Linked DNA regions of Drosophila melanogaster. The protein of the gene in region 4 interacts with the protein of the main gene of each other region in a biochemical or structural test. Each region holds a gene or a part of one and is shown on either strand. Other genes may lie near its edges. The genes, in order: dl, msl-1, Ran-like and tamo.

The links.
Region 1: the proteins of tamo (region 4) and dl form a complex in vitro, tested with the Drosophila melanogaster proteins (one study listed by BioGRID).
Region 2: the proteins of tamo (region 4) and msl-1 form a complex in vitro, tested with the Drosophila melanogaster proteins (one study listed by BioGRID).
Region 3: the proteins of tamo (region 4) and Ran-like form a complex in vitro, tested with the Drosophila melanogaster proteins (one study listed by BioGRID).

What each region holds. Positions count from the first base shown.
Region 1 is NT_033779.5:17,447,338-17,451,900, forward strand, and holds the start of dl (dorsal), read right to left. Parts: upstream 3,028-4,563; 5' UTR 2,539-3,027; intron 2,032-2,538; 5' UTR 1,959-2,031; intron 1,174-1,958; exon of another isoform or gene 941-1,173; intron 1-940. UniProt on the Drosophila melanogaster protein: Embryonic developmental transcription factor. The lateral or ventral identity of a cell depends upon the concentration of this protein in its nucleus during the blastoderm stage.
Region 2 is NT_033779.5:18,683,180-18,690,488, reverse strand, and holds msl-1 (male-specific lethal 1), read left to right. Parts: upstream 1-1,688; 5' UTR 1,689-2,063; coding exon 2,064-3,302; intron 3,303-3,362; coding exon 3,363-5,243; 3' UTR 5,244-6,769; downstream 6,770-7,309. Other genes in the region: CG10336 (uncharacterized protein), read right to left, coding at 1-695; CG31751 (uncharacterized protein), read right to left, coding at 7,224-7,309. UniProt on the Drosophila melanogaster protein: Component of the male-specific lethal (MSL) histone acetyltransferase complex, a multiprotein complex essential for elevating transcription of the single X chromosome in the male (X chromosome dosage compensation).
Region 3 is NT_037436.4:15,483,866-15,486,970, reverse strand, and holds Ran-like (Ran-like), read left to right. Parts: upstream 1-1,568; 5' UTR 1,569-1,612; coding exon 1,613-2,266; 3' UTR 2,267-2,575; downstream 2,576-3,105.
Region 4 is NT_033778.4:24,127,531-24,135,242, reverse strand, and holds the start of tamo (tamo), read left to right. Parts: upstream 1-1,691; 5' UTR 1,692-2,246; intron 2,247-3,403; exon of another isoform or gene 3,404-3,648; intron 3,649-4,805; 5' UTR 4,806-4,843; coding exon 4,844-4,967; intron 4,968-5,029; coding exon 5,030-5,229; intron 5,230-5,294; coding exon 5,295-6,563; intron 6,564-6,629; coding exon 6,630-7,430; 3' UTR 7,431-7,712. Other genes in the region: Naa35 (N(alpha)-acetyltransferase 35), read left to right, coding at 1-16; Zfrp8 (zinc finger protein RP-8), read right to left, coding at 73-762, 817-901, 959-1,227. UniProt on the Drosophila melanogaster protein: Has an essential role during oogenesis and embryogenesis, perhaps in modulating the levels of nuclear import of additional proteins. Modulates the nuclear import of dorsal (dl), Dif and male specific lethal 1 (msl-1).

The DNA.
Region 1 (4,563 bases), on a different chromosome or scaffold from region 4:
GCCATAAAATGAATTAATAAAATAACGTTCTACTCGTTCAACGATAACTACTTTTGGCGAAAAATAAAAAAAAAAGGTAAGTAAACAAAATAAAATGAACATTTCGTTTCGATCATTTAACATGCTAATTTTATGCAATTTCCAATAGCAAAGACACACAGAAAAAAGTTCTTTTGGCGCCAGCACCACAAATTAAGATTAAGATCAACATCAAAGCATCAGAAGCAGCCAAAAATTCCTCAGTGAAACGGGTTCCGCAAAAAAAAAAAAAACAAGAACTCCAGACAGACAAATGTTTTTTAACGATCGTTGGCGTCAAGCAATTTACAGCTCAAATAAAAATAAATAACCGATATGCTGACAAATCGATGGAACTAGTTGCCAAAAGCTATGTTTTGTATCGTATGAATACAAGTCCATTATCCTTATTTTCCACACCAAACAATGTTTGTTAAATTAGCCGATCAGGGATTATTGTGCACATGTGACTTCCGGCAAAAATGCAGATACATATCTTATCCGTATCTCCAATTATAACGGCCACGATCTTTCTTATCGAGTGGTTTAAATGATATTCGCCTAAAATAGAATCCCTATTGATTGATGATTTGCATAGCGGAGGGCCTTACCCACAGCCAGATCGTGTATCAATCATGACTCGGATTTAGCATACGGGGAAACTACCAGTAGATATAACCAATATTATCTATTGACTTGGCCTTAGATCTCTGTTAGCACACAAATCTCTACTCGAGCTTTGTAAATCGCCGATGACTTGCTGGAAACGAGTTGAGCGATTTTAGCGCTTTGATTTTCTTTGGTCCCGGAGACGAGAGTCTGATGTTATGAGTCAGCACACGGTTTGCATTTAACTTGGTTGCACTTTTCGAGTTTACACCGTATTAGCAGCTAAAAGCATTTCTTCATTCTTCATAATTACCTGCGAATCAAACCAAGAACCAGTGAACACTCATGACGAATTCGGTTTCACTTTTTGCTTTTATTTGGGCCACAAAACGCACACTAACCGCAGTTTGTTCTTTCAAAATGGTACTTTTCAAATTATTACTTAAAAATAATATCGAACCGTTAGGGAATTTTAAAAATATTTAATAAAAATAAAAGAATGTTAGCGCAAACACGACCGCAGGCGCATCGAGTCGATCTTAGAATGAAACAATTGAAAACCTCTCCGGCGTATTTGAGTGGCAGCAAAAAATAAATAAATACAAGGGGCAAAAGCTTTTCCACGAGCCCCACCCCCTCTGGGCCCCACGGCCCCCCTCGCCCACCCACGTGCCCGTAAGAAACTTTCATTTATGGCGACGTCGAAAAGCCACTGCGACTGCGCTGCCATGTACACAGGTGTTTCGGTTGTATTATTTAAGTTTATCGTTTGCATTCACCGTAGATTATTTAATACGCAGGTGGATAATTGCCACCCAAAAAACACAACAACAACAACTGCGGTTACACTACAAAGGATTGAATACGTTCTAATAGTTTTTTTTTAACATCTTAACTATTATTTGTCATGCAGAAATTGTGAGCTATTACAAATCTTAGCATCCAGGAATTTTAAACATTGTCAAAATGTTAAAACTATTTAGGATGAAAAATATTAATATGCGAGAAAAGTGACCAGTCTTGGTTTATCAAACCTTAAAAGTGTGAATAATGGTTGATAAATCACGATGTTGTTGCTGTAAACATTGTTCCGAAACGATAAGGCGTCCAATGACTCAATAAGGTTATATTTTTAATATGTTTAATGCAAGATGCGTTTCTTTGTAATGACATTTTGCGTCTTTGGAAGCAATAGTTGTGTACATATTTATTAAAATATCAAGACCCTTCTCGCAAAACGCAGCCATTAGGATTTTCCACCGCACTTTATTAATCCGTGCAATCAATGTTCAGAATCAATAAATTAAGCTAGGCTCTATAGGGGGACTCACCTAAGTCAAGGAGTGATCTGAAATCTCGCTTATATGCATTGATATCACTGGGTTTGCTAAGTAAATCGGACACCTGAAATTCAACGCGAACCAATTAGTACACTTTTATGTACATTATTTGTTAAGTTTCTTATTGTGTTAATTGGAAAATTAGTCCGTTGCACAGCGAGCTAAATAAGCCATTTATTTATAGTTGAGAAATATGGCGCTTTTTTCATGTTAATGTTAACACATACACAAGCACGCACGGCAGGAACCGGTTTATTTATTATTTTTTATATATAAATAATTTATTCTTCCCTCCCTTTCTCACTCACTCTCTCTCTCTCTCTCTTTCTGATTCTTCTTATTTTATTCTTTTTTAACTTTTGCGCGCGCACAAAGCGGGTGCGATAATATCGATAATAACGACAAAAACAACGGATGGGGGAGAACAGTTCGAACAGAAACTAATGAAAAGTTAAGAAATCGAAGTCCGAAGAAAGAGAGAGTGGGCAAAGAGCGCGAGAGAGCGCGTGACGTCGATTTTTTCTAGGGAATTCCGGGCTTTATGCTTATGCGATCATCGACGTACGACTACCTTTTGTTTTTGTTTTTCGATTTATTCGATTTATAATTTAGGGTAATTTGTTATCGCGCTCTGCCCTCCATTTTCTTTGGTTATTCTTGCGATGTTTGTGGTTAAAGTGTCGATGTGCCGTGTAATCTAATCGGTAAACGTTCAGTTTTAATAGAAATTATCAATACGTGCGCCGAGTTTTTTATTTTTGTTTTTTCCTCCGTTATATTGGTGGGTCTCTTTTTTTTGTCACTCGTAATACGAAAAAGCAAGTGAAACTTGCTTAGAGCTCAATTGAATTTATGCGTTTTTATGCAGCTCTTTTACTTTTCGTTTTATTTTTATCTACTGGTATTTCAACCTGCCTTCGAGCTCCAGAAGAGCGAAAGAGAGCGGAAGCTTAAAGCACAGCGAAAAAGGTAAATAAGGCACAATTTGGAGGTGGAGATAAAATACCCGTAACACACGCACTACCAACCGATCTCGACGCCCGCGATTTGAACACTAACTGCCCACCAAGAAGAAACAGGCGAGCCAAACTTTCAATACCGTATGCGCCACTGAAAAATACCGCAAAACTTGCAGATCGCGAAGCTTTCAACGGAGTTAAGTAGTCGGCCCCAAGCTCTGCTCTTTGCAGTCTCGACTTAAGCTCAGAAGAGAGACAATCCGAAGAGCCTAGCTTGGCGAAGAGTGCGAGATCAGCATGTGCTGAGTCACGTACGATTGAAGTTTTCCACTTGCGACTTATAGCTTACAGATGTCCACATCTTCCACAAATCCGAGTTTCGAGGAATACGCGATGATTGCATAAAGGCGAAACAATATATACATACATATAATATAAATGTTTTTATCTGACTGATACCGATTAGTAGGAATGCAGGCCAGTTGTTTCTTTCAAAAGCTTTTAAAATGTGTCACCTTTTAAATCTATAACACGTATTATATTGAAGGAATACCTAATTAATTGAAAATGCATATCTTTTTATTAGGAGCATCCCAAAGGAATCGGAAAATATAAATATTTTGTTTTTCTTAAATATTGAGAATTCAACTGTATGGTAACCAATCATCAAGAATTCGATTTTCAATGTGAGATTCGTTTAAATAGCCGAATATTCCAACTATATATGCATATTTACGAAAAGTAAAATATAAATGGAAAAAATAACTTCCGTCATTTATCTCAGTGTCTTTCACATGTGACTCATCTCCACGAGCGACTGCCTCCGAAAAGCTTTTTCAGCTTTTATGAATGAAACAGCACGGTGAGCACTAACTATCTGTGTGTGTGGCTGCGAGCTATCCATTTAAGACCCCACTCCCACCCATGCGGTTGGGGGGTCTGAATCAGCGTACGATTCCTGGAAAAAGGATAATATCCTGCGCCGGCATTTGTTGTGGCATTAATTTCCACTGCGGCAGAGTCTCAATGCCGTGACTCACTTGCTTCGTGCTCAGCATTCCGGAGCAGCTTTCACTTTCCGGGCGGAGGACCTCTGACATTCAAGACGGCTTGTTACGCGGAATTTGATAATATTGCTGATTCACCTTCTGGGGAAATGGGGGTCAGTACAGTTGATAATTGAATACATCGCTTAAAAAGTGGTCGCACGTTAGATAAGGATTTTTATGTTTTGGGTTTTTCAGCTAATTAAACCAAATTATTAAATATGAACGATGAATAGAAAATATAATTGTCACATTATTTGGAAAACGAAATATTATCAGTTTGAAATACATGCGAAAGAACCAGGTAGTATTTTTATAATTTCATGACAAAATTACAAATAAGTACTAAATGTTCCTATTTTATTACTGTGAAAAATTTATAAGTAAATAAGAATAAAAATAATATTAATTAAAGTTGGATGGTCGGTGACACAAAATCCACATGCTTAAGTTCTTCCCAATACTACGTACATATGCATAAAAAAGGACTTTCCGCCATTATCGTAAATCGTTATCAAAACCACACTGGCACGAAGGTCATGCCACCTGGTAAACATACATACATACATAAGTGCACGTGAGCTAAGCGCA
Region 2 (7,309 bases), on a different chromosome or scaffold from region 4:
GTCGCATTTACACCGGAGTACGGCGTGGACATTACAGCATTGCCGCGGGAGAATGACGGAGTAGCCAGCGTGCTGTTACTGGAAGCAGTAGACATTTTCCACTGCTGCGGGCTGGGAGGCGCCAGCCTGGACATGGCAATCTGTTCACCTAGCAGGGCGTCGAACTCATCAAAGGGTTCATCGCCGGCACCTTCCTGTTGCTCATCCTGCGCCTCCTCCAGGGCCTCCGCTTCGTGGGCGCGCATCTGCTCCAGCTGACCGAGTCGATATCGCGCCATGTGCACTTGGAGGGGTTTCTTCTTGCCCAGCCGTTCGATATTGTTAAGCACATCGTCAAAGGTGTAGGTGGGATACATACGATGGCCCCAGTGCTGCAGGCGGCGAAGCACCTCGTCGAGATCGGTTTTCTCGTAACCCTTGCCCTTGAATTTGATGTCCTTAAAATAATCTTCGATGGTCTGGATGCCACGAGGACCTCGAAGTGTTTCCACAGTGAGTCGCGGTCGGGGATTTCTCACAGCTCGCTTCTTAGGCTCCACTATCTGGGCATCCTGGCTACCAGGTTCTACGCCGTTGTCCTCGTCGTCCGCAAACAGCTTTTCGCCTTCGCCATCGCTGGGCAGCTGATCCGGGTCAGTCGGAATGTTGTCATTGAATAGGTCATCCACACCATCATCTCCGAACAGGGATGCCATAGAACTAGTGGCCGAAACTTAAATACCAAATAAACAATCTAACAAAATTTTGGCGCCAATTTTTGTTCTTCTTCTCTATCTACCATTCACAGGCGACGCTTGCATAAGTCACAGGGGGCTGCCAACTGAACAGCTCTTTGTTCTTTTAATTTTCCGATTACATAACTATTTGGTCTTTCCCAAAGGCTATTTTGATTTGCTTAGACATATTTTCATTAGTGGGTGGCACTAAAGGTAATTTGTACAGCCAACCCGGCTTTTGCATTGGTGGCAGCAGACATAAGAGATGGCAGCGTGACACGTTTTTTTTATCACTAAGCGACACATTGGCGTCACGAGTTTTTGTTATTCTATTATATTTATACCATTATACAAGGAAGGATAATTCATCCAAAGATTGTAGTTATTTAAATTTAGTGAAATATTTAAAAGGAGTTGGTAATGTAATAAAATTACCAAAAAAAATAAAATAAAATCAATACATTATTAGCTAGCTAGTTTCTTTTTCATCTATTTTCTCATTCCAATTACTCATACCACATAAAAATTGAAAATAATTATCCGGGGAGCAACGGAAGATTATTATTTACGTTGAGAGAAACTGTCCTCTTTTAACTGCTATCCTTGTGGTCTGGCAGAGTAAGAAATAAAAATGTGTTTAACGACATTTAGTCGGAGTTGACGAGCTGCCGCTCTTTATTCTGGTAACTGCAAATTTAAGCTGAAACTTAAAATGATTCTTAAAGCTAACAAAGACTCCGGCCCAATGCTGTCTCAGCACTTTGATATTATGTTTCATACACTAAGCCAACTGTACTAGTTCGTCGGCTCGTGTTAACTTAGCTATTAGCTATTATGTGCAACAAAGTACAGTTTCGTGAAAATATTTTCACTTCGTGACTGTCGTGCTCAGCTCGTGCATCGCAGCAAATTGCCATCTCTATGCCCCCAATCAACTCTGCGCTTTGGCGAAAAGTGGCAACGCCAGCAAAACGCCATACTTTTAAGAGCATTTTCGGGGCGACTTTACATTGTGAGGACAATTGTGGAAAAAGCGGTGAAAGAACGTTCAAAAACGAACCGAAAAACTGCTGCCTAAATGCGGTCACCACGTGCGATAAGAACGCCACGTTTAAAACGATAAATCCATTAGATTCTGGCCAAGAAAAGAGCGGTTCTTTTGCGAGGGCGAGCAAGGAAAATTTAGTGTGGTGCGAAATTGTAATCGGGATTCTACGCATTGTACGGCGTATCAGCTGAAGAGATTGTGTGCACCCCAAGCGACGCAAACAAAACCAAAACAAAACAAAAACATTTGGAGAATTATGAGATCGTAGGACCGACGGCACGGGATTCAATTCGACTGCCATGGACAAGCGATTCAAGTGGCCGCCCAAAAAGCGGGCCAACTACTTGGAATCGCCCTATCCCCACATACCGTCGCGTGGCCGCCAAAGGAATCTGCACGGCCATCCCAATCAGACGCAGCATCTTCATCAGCATCCCGGGAAGATCTATGAGCGCCAGCAATATGGCAATGGTCGTGGAGGACATGGCGGGGGTAATAACAACTACCGAAAGCTTTTGCATTCGCTGCCAGCTGAGCATGGTGGCGGAGCCATGGCTCCTCCTTCCTCCGGCGGAACCGTGTGTGCCGGCGCCGATATGGTCAAGCTCATCTCGGAGAACAACAACCTGAGGCGCATGGTTATGTTGAACTTAAACCTGATGCAGGAGCAGACGGACAGCATAGCGGCCAAGGACAAGGAGCTGGACGACCAAAGCGCTAAGATGAGCGTGGTGAAGGCGCAGAATGAGGAATTAAAGCAGGCCGTTGCTCAGTTGGAGGCCGCCAACCAGGAACTATGCAAACAGCTGCGGCGAAAGAACCAGCGAAGGAACGACAATGACGACGACGACGATGATCCCCCACTGCCACCTGCTGCCCCGCAGCAGAAGTTGATACGTTGTCATGCTGAGACGCAAACTGTGTTTCGGGAGCGGGAACAGGGCACACAAACGATAGATGCGCAGCCTCAATTCGCGAATGCACTTCCCAGGGGTATCAACATGAAGGAGTCTCCCGCTCTGGACCATCACGCTGGAGCGGTAACGAATCAGCCAGCCAGCAAACGCTCGGAGAGCAAAGGCCGCGGTGAATTCAACGGTAAAAAGGTGAGCACGTTTATTCTCCAGCGCATGAATCAGGACTTCGAGCACCACATCCACGAGCAAACGGAAGTAGCAGAGGAGCACGAGATGGAGGCACATAAGGAGCAAATATCTCAGGAAGAGGACCAACTGGTCGCTGAGGAAGATCATCTGCATATGCAAGAAGTGCACACCGAGGAAGTCGTTGGAGGCGATATCTTTCATGATGCTTTGGAATCAATTGAAATGGAAGTGGTCACCGAAGAGCTGGTTGATATGGAGGAGCATGGACAGTCCGTGGATGCCAACGGCCATATCGAGGAGGATGATGACGAGGACGACGAAGATGACGAGAATAGTGATAAAGACGATGACAGTGAAGAGGATGATTATCCGTGGATGCATAGCGATGCGGATGTAAACGCCAGAACTGAGGAAGAGCTCTGGCAGAATCAGGTATGTTTAATGTTATTATTTAATTAAAAGAATATATCGAGCAATCCTTTACTCTTTCAGAATTACCTTTTGGAATTGGACCCGACGGAGGAGAAGACCTGTGCGCCTTCGGCCCATTCAACTCCCAATCACCAGCAGAAGTCTTCGACACAGGCAGAGATAAGGAAAGAAGGAAATCAGAATCGGATAACTGAAAAGTTGTTGCAACTAAAGCCTGAGCCAATGGTAGATGCATTAGAAGCGCCGATTCTCCCGAAGTGGGTGGCTTTTAAGAAAAAGGATAAGGAACATGAATCAGTCCCCGAGTCCCCAGAAGTACCCAAGCAGCAGCCGCATCAGGAAGATGCCATCGTTGATCATAATGCAATAAAGAATCAGTTGGAAGTTCCCAAGCCGGACTTAAAACCGAAGGACCAGCCCAAAGACGAACAGAGGCAGGATGGGCAGCTGGATGTTCGCGTGGAACCACAAGAGGATGTTCGTAAGGTACAGAAGGAAACTCTGAAAAGGCAACCAGAGGATGCACCTAAGCACCTTCCGAAAGCGGTAGCCCCAAAGGTTACGAAAACATCCTCTCGAGAAAGCACGTTGCCCAAGGCAAACACCGCTGACATAAAAGACGCTCCCGCTCAAAAAGTAATAGCCAACCATCAGTCCACCAAGACGCAAACGGATCCTGTAAAAACGCAGCGTTTGCAGGTTAAGATCAGGCAGTATGAAATGCATCCTGACATGAGAACCGGCTCCTCCGCCCCGTCTGATATTCGGAAACAAAAGAACGTTGATCCAGTTTCGACGCCCGAGACGAAAACCATTAAAAGTAAAAGTATGTTGGTCAATGATAAAAAGACCACGTCGGAAACGTCTCAGAGCCCAGATCAAGAAATAGATGTGGAAACAGTTAGAAGAAAACTGGCGGAACATTTAAAAAAGGAGCTCCTAAGCCAGAGTCATTCGTCACAGGTTACGCTCAAGAAAATAAGAGAGAGAGTCGCCACAAATCTAATATATCCACCACCCAGTGCACCAGTATCCTCAACAACAATAACCCCAGCGCCTACGCCGTCAACGACACCAACGCCTGGCTCAACGCCACAGCATGCGGTTACATCCTCAATGGACCAGGAAATATCTGCAGCAAAATCGAAATCCAAGGCAGCTGAACAAATAGCAACTCCTCTGACACCTCAATCTAATAGCAGTGTTAGCAGCACCACTTCGACTATCCGAAAAACGCTAAACAACTGTTCACCCCACACGTACAGCAAGGCAACGGCGAGATCGGGAAAACTGCAGTCCAGATTCCGCACTGCCACGTTTCCGTACAGCACGAGAACGTGGGAGGATCAGGAGTTCCACTGTGACAACGAGTTCTTCCTGGAGGAGGCCGACGAGCTGCTGGCGGATAACCCTAGTCTGGAGATACCCAAGTGGCGGGATGTCCCAGTGCCACCCAGTTCGGATAAAATTGACACAGAATTACTGAGCGATGCGACCTTCGAGCGCCGGCACCAGAAATATGTGAAGGATGAGGTCGATCGAAAGTGTAGGGATGCACGTTATATGAAGGAGCAGATACGGCTTGAACAGCTTCGGATGCGACGGAACCAAGACGAGGTGTTGGTTGCGCTGGATCCTCTGCGCGCCTCCACTTTCTACCCGCTGCCCGAGGACATAGAGGCCATCCAATTCGTCAACGAGGTGACAGTTCAGGCATTCGGCGAAAACGTGGTCAACATGGAGGCGCGGGATGATTTCGGTGTGCCTTGGGTGGATGCAATCGAAGCGCCAACCTCCATAGCCAGGTCCAAGGCACTGGCTGAGCCGGTGGCAACGTTGGCTAGCAAAAAAATACCCACCACTGCTGCCGAGGCGAGGCATCAAGAAAATCACTCCTCCTACGTGTTTCCCAAGCGACGCAAGCGCCAGAAGAATCGTTAGCCAGGAAACGCCTGGGGGATCTGATACTGGAGCTAAGCAGAAGACTGTCGGTTGGGGGAAGTCGTTGCGTTTGACATACTAATGATTTTCAGTTTTAAATCATGAATTATTTCTTAAGCTTAACGTGAAAGCACCAGAGTTAACAGTAACGATTACCACAGATCGTCTAGAAGTCAAATAATCCAGAGCAGACGATGTTTATTGTATATATGGTTCCTCAACTGTCCGTTTTTATTTGTGTAATAAAATGAACGGAACGCTGAATTCTGGAACATTAGAAATTCTTTGTTATAGAATCTATAAATTTATGTCAAAGTTTTGTCGTTTCTTATGCGATGAGAGATCTTAAAAGGCAAGTAAATTGAGCTGTCCTATTCAAACATTTTTCTATTAAATTGTTATCATATTTATTTCCTTGAAATATAAATAATTCGATCTTATATTAGATGTAAATGAATCCAAATGTTCGTCGCCTGGTCTGGAAATGATTAGTTTTTAGTTAACGTCTTGCAATTGAAAAGAGTTTCACCCTTGCTTGTTTCCAATGTACGTAAATTACTTAGTCCCACACAGCATGTAATTCAAACCAGTCGCTTAGTTAGATTGGTTAACTCATCTCAGCTTTATCACCTTTAAAATCGCCCGCACTAAAGTGATAAGAACACGAAAGATATTCACATAAGTTATATTGGGCATTTTTTTGGAGAAAAACAATGAAATTCGTAGACTTATATTTTTAAATATTTTTTTTCTTTAGCCCTTATAACCATTTTTTTTGTCTTTGTTTATACTGTTATATCTGTCGATTCTCGAATGCAGACAACGTGTGTGTTGCAAAGAGTTACTCAGGTATATCTCTGATAATTTGTCTTTTTTTTTAGGATTTGATTGTGTAAAAATTGAGTGCGAGTGGTTGTCTGCTTCGAGTAATCAAATTATACATTGGATCTATTGTTTTATTTTATTAACTTCATTAAACTTGTTTTATGTTGTATCGAACAAGAAAGGCCGTTAAGATGAAAACTAGATTTGAAGAATAAATATAAAACTGATTCCCGAACTGCACACCCGTTTGGCCTTATGGGCACCATGTATTTTTGGCTAAATATTGTTTCGTTTAACACTTCTTCTGTTTGACTTTCTGTCGCAATGATATGGAGCCTGCCAACGTCCGGAGAAATCAAATCACCAGCTCGCTTTCGAGTGGCGTCTTATTTTTGTACATTTCGATAGGTGTAAAGTCGGTTACTTGTAATATAGCGTTAAGTAGGCACTGTACCCAAACGCATAGAGATAATTATAATGTAACAAAGTAAATACGATACGATGTACATTGTCCAGGAAAAGGAGGAGCGGAGGGTGGATGAACTTCGTTCAACACCATTTTACACCATTCAATGTAATTAGCGTTAAATAGTTCAATTTACTGAAGCTTCAACTAAAAATCAATTCGAAATTAATTGCCACCATTGTAGAGCCCTAAACAAACTCACCTACTGTAAGAATAAATGTACTACATACAATGTATTTGTATTTGTTTAACAAGTTTTATTGTAAAGATAACGATAATAATATACAGGATAAAGTAAATTGTAAAGCAACGAAATGCAATCAATACTTGGACTTGCAACTTATTTTGCACAGGTGATATGTAAATGAAATTCTAATAATTGACAATGGGTTTATTTAACAGGCCTCAATTGATTTTCCAATGACCTGGCATCGCTTGCTTCTGGTTTCCTTAGATGTCTTTTTGTTTGCGATCATCTCGATATAAACTTGTTTAGGGGCTAATTGCAAATGTATTTAATATCTTAGAAAATGCTTCATTATACTCTATATATTGGCTGTGACAATTTTATCTGACCCTCGTTACCTAATGGAAAACATAACATACAAAATCTTCAACAACCAGAATAGCTGGATTGAAAATCAGTTAAAATACCTTTAAAAAACGGAAAAGCCTAACGGAATTTTATATTATTTATTGCTCTGCGTCAAGTACTGGTGTCCAGTGCTTGCCCACAGCTCATCAATATCGTCAAAGCTCTCGCGCCACAGCTTCT
Region 3 (3,105 bases), on a different chromosome or scaffold from region 4:
TTAATATGTTATTTATTTACAATTAACGCCCCAGCAAATGCCTTCGTGTACAACTGGGCGTATGATTTATGGCATTCTCGGCCCCCTAGCAATTGTAACTATTGTTGAATGCAATTTCCTTTTGTTTGCGATTGTAAATATATATATATATATACATACATATGTACATATAAAATTGTGCGTGTAACAGTTGCCTCTCGTAAATTACAGGTTTAAGGATTTCGGGCGGGGTGTGTGTGTCAATTTTAAAAGCCAAAATCTTTGGTCGAAGGGGTTTTTGGGGTTGGATTGAAGTTGAAAATGAAATTATTTATGATTCTCATTTGATGCGACAGCTTTTGCCCAACACGAACTGTGTACCGAAAATGGGTTGTTGTATGATGCCAAGTGGAATCAAATAATGGGTATAGTTTAAGAGGGTGTAGTTGATCAATTTGCAAATATTACTTGGATTTCATTACGAATTAGGAAGCATTTCTCCAATAGAAGTTAAATAAAAATGAATTATACTATAGTAATTGTTCACATCGTATTTTAACTGCTGTTTTTCATTCTAGCACCAAAATAAAATGTTATATGGTTTATATATCTATAATCGATCTACATAGCTCGCTGTTTTCTGTTATTTGAAAGCGTATTGAAATTCTGTTTTGTAACATTAAGCTTTTCCCATTGTTGCTATTTAAACTATTTTATTTTTGCATCTTAAATTACAATACCGTTTTATTGTTAAAGAATCCCGAAAATCAACAAAAGCCAAAAATTAATATGCAGGCATATAAAGAGTGATTTGATCAAAATCTTAAAGTAAAGCTAATTTACTCTAAATATAACCGCTCTTATTCCAATAATATGTATAATATATATCATATCATATTTATTCAAAACAAACCATCATAAATGGGTTTTTTTTATATTTGTAGTTCTGCATCTGGCATTTTAGATTACATTCAAGCTTTTCATAATTTCCCCGACTTCCCTGAACTGCCACTAAAATTGTTTTATAGTTTTGTCCTTTAAATCCTGCAGCATCTTGCAATGCTTTCAGTTCTCCGAACACTGTATGTATCCCTGTTCCTTGTGCACAAACTCACTCCCATATTTTAATTTGTTAATTACTTAGTTGCCTTGTTGGTAGAGGAAGAGGCTGTACATTCATATACGGATTAACTGCCATCCTGGCTAAGTAATCAGCATATAGTTATATATGAAGCGATACAGCCAGGTTAGTAACTAATTAAACCCTGAACTTAGTTTTGCGTACTGTTATTTTACTGGTCGAAAAGTCTGCAGATGGCTAAAACTCATGTTAAACCGACGAGTGGATATTAAACATTTATAAAAATTAACTGATTAATTTTAATAAAAAAAATATAAAATGTATACATACATGCAATACATTTTTAAGAGTCTTTAAGTACCGAAAGATTTCAAACATATTTTCCTCGTGAAACAGATCATCGCAACTTTTTCCTTGACATTTTTTCTGCACAAAGTAGGTTCGGATATATAAGTATGTGTTTCGTCTCAAAAACTTTCAATATTACACAAACCGCTGGCAGGATAGGTTCAATACAAATTAATAAAACAAAAATATTAAGTTTTGTCGATCATGCAACCTCAAGAGGAAGTGAAGGCCATTTTCAAGCTGATTCTAATCGGAGACGGGGGAACTGGGAAAACCACATTGGTCAAGCGACATCTGACCGGCGAGTTCAAGATGCAATACAATGCGACCTTGGGTGTGGAGGTCGAGCAATTACTGTTTAACACCAACAGAGGAGTTTTCCGCATCGATGTTTGGGACACTGCCGGTCAGGAGAGGTACGGTGGCCTGCGCGATGGGTACTTCGTCCAATCACAATGTGCCATAATAATGTTCGATGTGGCCTCGTCAAATACATATAATAATGTGAAAAGATGGCACCGCGACTTGGTGAGAGTATGCGGCAACATACCGATTGTCATTTGTGGCAACAAGGTGGATATCATGCATAAAAAGACTTGGAAAAAGGGTGTTGACTTTGATCGCAAGACAAACATTTACCTCATTGAAATGTCCGCAAAGTCGAACTATAACGTGGAGAAGCCATTCGTCTATCTATTGCGAAAATTGGTGGGTGATCCCAGCCTGCAGTTAGTCCAGAGCCCCGCTATACAGCCCCCAAAAGTTGTTTTTACCGACGAGATGAGCCGTCAAGTGGAAAGCTTATTCAATGAGGCCAAATCCAAACCTCTGCCCACTATTTACGATATTGATCTGTAAAGATCAATATCATGATCATGATTAGTGTTCTTTCAAAATTTTCATATTCTGCAAGTGCAACGATGATCTTTGCTTACTTTGTGCCCATGGATGAAGACATTCAGCTGAAGTACTTAATAATTTTTAAATTTCTAAATTTCTAAATTCCGATTGTTTTCGAAGATTCTAATTTTTTTTTTGTAATGGACGTAAATTTCAAAAATTCAATGGTGTAAAATTGCAGGCTCGGATTTATATTTCTAAAAGACTAATGTATCCCACTATATCTGTTATTTAAATATATAGATAGATGTAATAGATACTACATTTAAATTTAAATAAACTTTTATAATTTAAACGGCTTCATAAGTTTTTGACCCATATGTTAAAAAATGCAGAAAAATCGATTCGATTTCATTAAGTTCTGCGCATTGTTCTGCTGCAAATTGAAGGATCCTGGCCAATTTCGGGGGCTCCAAATAAACCGCTCCTTCAGTGGGGATTCATTTTAAGCCCGGGGAGTCCACGCTCGCTTCGTAGCCATCTACATTACCCATACCAGTGCACATAAGCGCTTAATGAGTATAAATGAGCTTGATTGCATATTCCAAGGCGCTGGCGGACCCATCCTTGTGCTTCTGTGTGTGCGAGCTGTTTTTTAATAGCCTGCATATGGCGTTGTAAAAGTTTTCATTACACAAACAGCAGCAGTGGCAGCAACTACAATTTACCGGCAACAAGAGCAGCAACAACAGCAGGCGCAGCAGCAGTGGCAGCAGCAACAACAACAACTTATTGGCCTGACTTTTAAGCGCATTTAACACACGGCGTATGCGTAATGTGCTGCCAGAGCGAGAAAG
Region 4 (7,712 bases):
CATCAAGCTGAAGTAAATGTTCACGTGTTTCGTAATTGACAAGAATAAAATTTAAATGTACGCATTTTAATGTCAACTCTGATCCTCCGCCACAATGTCCTGCTTGATGAGAAGCTCCTCCACGTAGCCGTCGATGGGGCAGCTTTTGGCGCAAGTGTAGACGGCCAGGACGCCCCAGTCGAGGTTTTCGTCCTCCAGAAGAGTCAGCGCTTGCGGCATAATCTGAAATTCGAACTGACGCTCTCCTCCGCAAGCAATGCAATTGGGCAGCTTGTTAAGTTGGTCCTCCACCGTTTTGACGGTATTCGTGATCCAGAGGGGCTGGCCTCCACGTTTGTAGCGCACGATCTGATCGGGTTCGGCTGCTGTTTGCTTTTTGAACTGACGAAAGGTCTTGTCATCGGCGGCCGCCGAGTTTCCGAAGTACTTGTCCATCTCCGCCTCGGAAACATTGCTCAAGTCGCCCGTCTTCCCGCTGGACTCCAGCTCCTGGAACTCCGCCAAGCGAGCCTCATCGTCCTTGTCCTCCTCGCCAGACTCCACGGGGTTGCTGTCCATTACAATCTCAAATTCTGGGAAAACGATTTGTGTTAAGGGCTTCTCAGTGGCTACTTCTGGTGCTCCGCAGTTTGGCTTGTGTTGTGGCCAGTGGGCCCTTTGATGCTCTGGTGAGCAGTAGTGGATTGCCTTGCATTTGCTGCAGGCGTGAGGAGCATGGCAACCGCAGGCGGCGCATAGTTTCTTTAGGCAGGGAACGGCGGGCTAAGAAAACATATTATGATGAGTATGTTCTGAAAATATGGCTGCTGTTCCTACCAGGGGTTGACCCACGTCGCTCGGCTCCTCCTCCGAAAAGAACTTATTTTTTCGCGGCAACTGTGACCTGAGGACTGTGAAATTGCTGGAAAGATGGGTAAGATTAGGTTGCAAGTTGGTTTTCAGAGCTAGAAGGGATTACCTTGCATTTTGGGCCTCCTGGCAGTCGGAATTCCGGCACAGGAACACATAGATGGACCGATGAAAGTTGTACTCGTCTTCGAAGGGAGCGTATAGCTGAGCCAGGAAGGATTTGGGTGCCCTGCACTTGCTGCACTGCAGCTGCGACGTGGGCGGCAAGGCCTCCAGTTCCAGCCATGCGGGCTGGCCTCCCAGCTTGCTGGGAAAGTAGCGGTTGCTCAGCCAGGCGCCATTGTCGCTCTTTTCCGCAAATCCCAAGTCAATCTCCATTTCTTTCAATCTCCGAAACGAAACTCGTGTTCAGTGTGACCGCAGCGGGAGCGCCAGAAAATACCTCTACAAATTCCGAAATAACGTTGTATAATAACTGATATTTTCGGGGAATCACACTTTTTGGGTGTTATAATTTAAAATTTAAATTAATTACATTCGTTTAATTTGTTGATTTCGGCAGTTCAATAAAATAAAATATTCTTTTCTTCATTGAATATTTGCGATTACTCTTATAAACATAAGGGGGAAACATAAGATTTTAATTTAATGACATTAATCTGGAAGAATAACAAATCTCATTATCCTGAGCCCTTAAAAATGGCAAGCGGTTCAAAATTATAGAGCGAGGATTAATCAGATAAGGCCCCTCTTCTACGCCACTGATAATAAAGCTTGCATGCCATGGATTTGGTATTTTCCGCGAGTTCCTCCATGGCGATTTCCCAGATTTTGGCCACTTCAGTATGCGGTTATTTCTCACGGTTAAAAGTTCTGCTCTCCGAGTTGATTAAACTGGCTAAAGTGATATTTTATTTACTGTTGTGATAAACGCGTGTGAAAAACAAAGACTTTCCATTGCCCGCGGACACAAACGATCACGAACCGAAGAGTGAACCGCTCAGAAACGGGGGGAAAACCAGTTTTCCCACGATTTGATGTGATTGTGAAAGCGCAACGAGATTTGTCAACGCAAACAAGCAAGAAGAAGAGCCCGTGGATAGCGTAATATTTGTTAATAATAACGGCTGCAAAAACAACAACATTGCGGAAGCAGAATCTCCGACTTGTCGCGTTTCCGTCGCAGCAGCGCTAAAAATAAACCCACCCACGCACCGCCCCCTCTCGAATCGCCAACCACCCACTCCCGCCCACCATCCACCTACCACCACCTTCCGCCCACACCCACGCACGAATTTGGAGAGGTGAACTTGTGTTGACTTTTCCAGCGCGCGGACTTTTCCGAAGAAAAATGCAAAAATGAGAGCCGAGCCACCAGCGGACCACTGGGAATTTGCGTAAGTCCAAGGCGGATGCTTCCTGGTTTCGAATTACAGGGTATCACGTGCGCTGCTGCGAGCTAGTGAACAAGAAGGCACCAGATGTTTGATGGAGTGCACATAGAGAAAAGTTTGTGTAGGAACTATTAGGTGTCCGGTACAGGGTATCTCCGCTTCGATGCCCCTGGCAGTGGCTCGCTTTCTGGCTGCCAAAGAACGAGCCGGGTGAGCTTTTATTTGCTAAATTTAGTGCCGCATTGCTGAAAATAAGAATGGGAGCACCCTGCCATCGGTTGCCGGTAGGCAGACTCATATATATGTATATGTATATGCATAATCGCCCCTGACGGCCAGTGTGTGGTTCGGTGGATCTTTGTCCAGGGCACATGGCCCGAAACTGTTGCATGGCCCATCCTCGTCCTGGCCAATCGATGCCTTCGATGCCGACTTCGACTTGGAGTGCTGCCTGAATCAATAAACGCCTCAAATCCCTGCCATATTGCGTCCATTGTAATGTCAGCACATAAATTCTCTGCCCATCGAGGGGCATTTTCACTCGGCTGCAGGCATTCGGTAGTGGTATGTACGCTATGTGTCCTGGCCAGGCAATAAATATTGAAAATTCAATTAGCAGACGGACGGGCAGCCGAAATGCTATGAATTTATCACCACCTGAGTGCGAATGTGCCTGTGGTACTCATAGTAAATAAGTAACTTCATTGCCATTCGGCCCACTCCACTTGCTCCACCTGCATGCTGGCTATTGATTTTAATCCGCCCTGCAATCATCTTGCTTCATTTGGCCGCTGAATTTATGGGTTCCCACGAAAGCTCCACTTTCTTCGGCCCGCTTTCCCATTTCCCCCACTTCACATTCCCATTCCCACCAACAATGTGTGCTGTTTCGGCGCTGGAAAACATTAATTAAAATTCACTGGACTGGGAAAGCTATCAGTTGCATGCATATTCAATTGATTCATTATTACAGGACATCATACATGTAATGCTCAGCTCATTAATCGGTTGACAGTGCGTTCCTTCGACTGACTGTTTAAATTCCCATTTCAATATTGTTGTTAACTAGTAGTATGTATGTACGTACATATGTACATATGCTTATGTACGACTTGAACCCAAGCAACTAAATAGGAAATTGTCAGTATGTGTAGCGTCGAAATTATTGCATAAGTAAATAAATTATAGAGGATGAGAAGGGAAGTCAGTTTATGTGGCTTGCATAAGTTTGTTTTGATATATTTGATAATTATACGCTTATCACTGCCAATGTTGTTCTCTCCGCACACCGCGTTTATTCGACTCCTCTTGTCACCACTTCGCCGTTTGCTCAGTTGCACTACACTTGTTTATCCACGCCCGCCTTGCTGCTCATTCGCATTCTGATTGGAGCGCCGAACGCCAAGTGAGTCACTCCCCAAGGTTGCTCAGCGTAGTGCCTCTCCGGTGTTCTCAGTATCGAATGCCAAAGGCCAATGGACGATCTCTGGCTCCACGATAGCCGATATCAATATCGAGTTAGCCAGTCAAGTGGCTCGGTTCTCCGGCTGGCGAGGGGGGAGATAAGGGCAAGCGATGCAATCGCGAGGCTTCTGGGTTCCTATCGAGCACTTGTGGGCTTTCCTTCGGGTCAGCGAGCAGATGATACCCAGTTGGGAGTAGTATTTGCCAGGTAAAGCTCATAGATAGTAAAGGGCTGGAGCTTGCTTTCCGGTTATCTATTATCATCACAACAAGTGAGCTCCATTATTGCGCTCACTTTATTTACTCTACTTATTTTCGCGTATATTAGGTAAGCCTGGAAATTGTACATGATTAGCATTTCTGACCTTATGACTCACCGAAGCAAAGCTACGAGCAGCCCCACATTTAGTTGATTTCTATACAATTCGCTATCTTTTATTTCAAAAATAAACCTTAGATTAGATACGCCTTTGCAAATAAACAAAGTATGCTGCAGAGTCTTCCTGGATCTCCACCTAGCAATCATAATAAAGGGCTTCCAGTTGGTTTGAAACCCCATAGATGGACTCTACTTAGTGTTTGGTCATGGTGATAGTTTTAGCTTTGTAATTTCTATTAACAAAAAAAAATTTGTATTTATTGTAAACGAAATCCCCTGAAACAGCTTTTCTCCCAGCCAATGAATCAGCTTCCACTGCATCGGGGAGCACAGTAGACGTAATCACAAGTGAGCTTTTTGTTGTCAACTGTTTTTGTCCGCGAGGGGCAAGTACTGGTTGCTTAGGTGCTCCGCTGGCTGGGAGGAAACTGATAAGGACTCGGGAATGCCACTATCGATGACGGGCCCCAATGGAGCCTATTGTTTGCTCTTATCTGTCCAGTTATTGTTACTCCATTCGAGCCCAGTTGGTTGTTTATTTGTTTGTTTGCTGCATGCCGCGACGGCGTGCGTCATGCGGGGAAGGATGTGATTCTGGTGATTCATGCCAGAGAAGTGCATCCCCACCCAACCCCTGGTGGAAAATCAATAGCCATGGTGGCGCGCTCTGGGCTCTCGAGATGTTCGCCGTAGTGTAACCTTGTGTTCTTGTTTTGCAGGAGCCGGAGGCGCCTTGAATGAGAGTCCTTAGCCCGAGATGTCGGATTTCGTGCCGCACGACCTCATCCCCGATCTGTGGGATGAGATTCTCCGGCGCCACTGGATGTTTCTCGAGACGGAGGAGAGCATAGAGAAGCTCGAGGAACGCAAGCAGCTGGAGGGTGAGTTCGCCGCCTTGTCCTTGTCCTAAATGGAAATGGAACTAATCAATCCGCGCTTACAGGCTGCCTGAAGGAGTTCCTCTGCGTGGTGCAGCACGATCGCAAGTTCTTTCTGCCGGAAACTGGGCATGTCCTGCGGAGGTCTGTGCTCGAGCTGCCCGACTTTTCGGCCCAGAACGCCATCGTAGCCTTCGAGACCATCAGCCAGTATGCCAACAATCTGTTTACGAAGCCATGGCGAAAGGAGTATCGAACTCTCAAGGTGGATATAGGATGATGACGTATACTAAATAGCCACTTCTAACTGAATAATCCTCCTTTCTGCAGACCTATTCGGGATGCTTTCAGCACGACATCCAATCCCGCCTGCTGGACGCCGAACAGCTCTTCCTGGCCATGGGCTATCGCCGGGCTGCCGAGGACACCTTCGTCCTCGAGGGTCCCATCTGTCCGGATCAGGTTACGAATGTTTCGCGCGACGCAATGGCCGCCTACGTGGAGTGCCAGATTATGAAGCACATCTACGCGGGAGTGACGGCAGCGGGATACGTCTGCACTTGGAAGGACATCCTACAGTTCCGCGAGCGTTACGTGGGTGGAACTTCCACGACCATCAAGGAGATGGTCAGGCAGCTGAGTGAGAAACGGGTACGAATGGAGCAGCCACCGATGCAGGAGAATACATATAGCAATGTGGTGAGTGCTGCTCCAACTGCCTGCGGCATGCGCAGCAACAACGTTGCCCATCATCCCAGCAGTTCCGGCACTTGTGCCCTGCATCCCAATGGGCTGAACGAGGCGGGTAAGTATCTGCCGCCTTACCCAGCGCCTCCGCCGCAGCAACCGCACCTGCCTGGTCCGCTGATGACGCATTCTCGCAGCCTGGATCACTACCAGGAACCGCAGGCCCATCTGCCTCACCGTCACTCCTTCGATCAGCAGCTCCAACAGCAGTGCCAGCTGCCGCACGTCTACGAGGCGCCCTATGACTGCTTAGATGGCCTGAGCATGGGCAGCAGTGCGTCCTACGCTGCCGTGACTGGAGCCTACAATGCACCGGGAAACCGCTATCCGCTGCCGTACAACATCTCCAGCCAGCTGAATGCCCCGTATGCGTCGCCCGCCGACTTCTATGGCAATGGACAGCACACCAACATGTACGCCACGCTGGGAAAGACGGGCCCAGCCCACAGCTGCGATTTGCACCGTCGCCAGCCGAACACTTCTGCTGCTGCCGCTGCTGCCTTGGCGGCTATGCAGCACCGTCAGAGCACCTATCCGCCGGATCACCACCTCATCGACTTTGACGAGCGAGCGCATCTGACCCAGCATGACTTTGGGACGCATGACTACGATCCGCAGTATGCCGAGCTGAGAGGTCAGGTGCAGCCTAGCATGCGGGGGAATCCGGTAGCCATGTATGCCACCTACGGGGGCTACGACCTGCCCACCACGCTACCGCAAGCGCCGCCGCCGACCGGCCAGGATATGTACATCTATGCGCGGCCGGTTCCGAAGAGCAGCCGTATGCGGGCTTTGGCCGAGGCGGGTGGCATTAATTCGACTGACAAACATCCGCGATCAGCGGAAAAGCAAGTAAGTTCTAACAACATCATCATACTTATATAATGGTTACATATCGTTGCCTACTCCTTTTAACAGAGCACCATGGACAATAATCGCAAGATGCACAAGGAATTGAAGGAGCGGAATAGTCGGACTGCACCGGCCAAGAGGTCCGGCACTGAACGTGATATACCCACCACCATTTCGGACTTGAACAGTTACGACTCGGCTAGTCTGGACGGATTTGTGGCCCTGGACAGTAGTAGCTCGCCGCCTCTCATGCCCAAAGTGCAGGAGGGTGTCGGCAGTTTCGAGTCCTGGAACTATGTATTCAAGAACCTCGAGCGATCGGGCTACACAAAGGACCTGGGTGACCGCGAGGACTTGCTGGTGCAGAGCTTGGACCTAGGCTCGCTGTCCATAACGAACGGCGGTGCAGCTCCTCCGGCGGAGAAGCGCCGTGAGGCCACGAATCCCACAAACGGAGAGAAGGCGCGAACGCTAGATAAAAAATCCGGTACGGGGCGACGCGAGGCTAAGGTGGTGCAAGCTCCTGCACCCAGTCCTCTGCCCAATAGCAGCAGTGCCGGCGTTAAGAAGGTCAAGTCCGCCTTGAAGACGGCCGTCGTGGACAATCGGGGAACCGGGTCAAGGCAACGCACAGGAGCTGTGCCCAAGCAGCCGCCGAATGTGTCTCCCCAGCTGATTGTGACCAGTCCGAACGAGTGGAGCTGCAGCTTCTGCACGTTCCTCAATCCGGACACGAAGCGCATCTGCGAGATGTGCTGCCGCAGCAAGGACTTCAACCTGGAGGCCGCATCGGCGGCTTCCTCCTCGGCGGCTGCAGCTGCGGCGTCAGCGGCCAGTGTGTCGCACGCATCCTCGACCTGCGTGTAGGATGCAGTGGATGCAACGGAACCCTCGTTAGTGATACAAACAGTGTATAGCTTCATATATTTTTTATACGACCAATGTAAGCCTGTGCGCGTGTCTCTAAGATCTAGTCTCGATCGAAGTCGTCGTTCGATGGCAGGCAGCCCTTTGTCATCCGCATTCGGCTCCTTGGATGAGCGGATGGCGCTGCAGACGGGATGGGTCTGCAGTCTGTACATACGAAGTATTCTAATTAGTTACCCCTACTCGTAAACACACGCTTTAATTAGTTTTAGATTGTTTCCC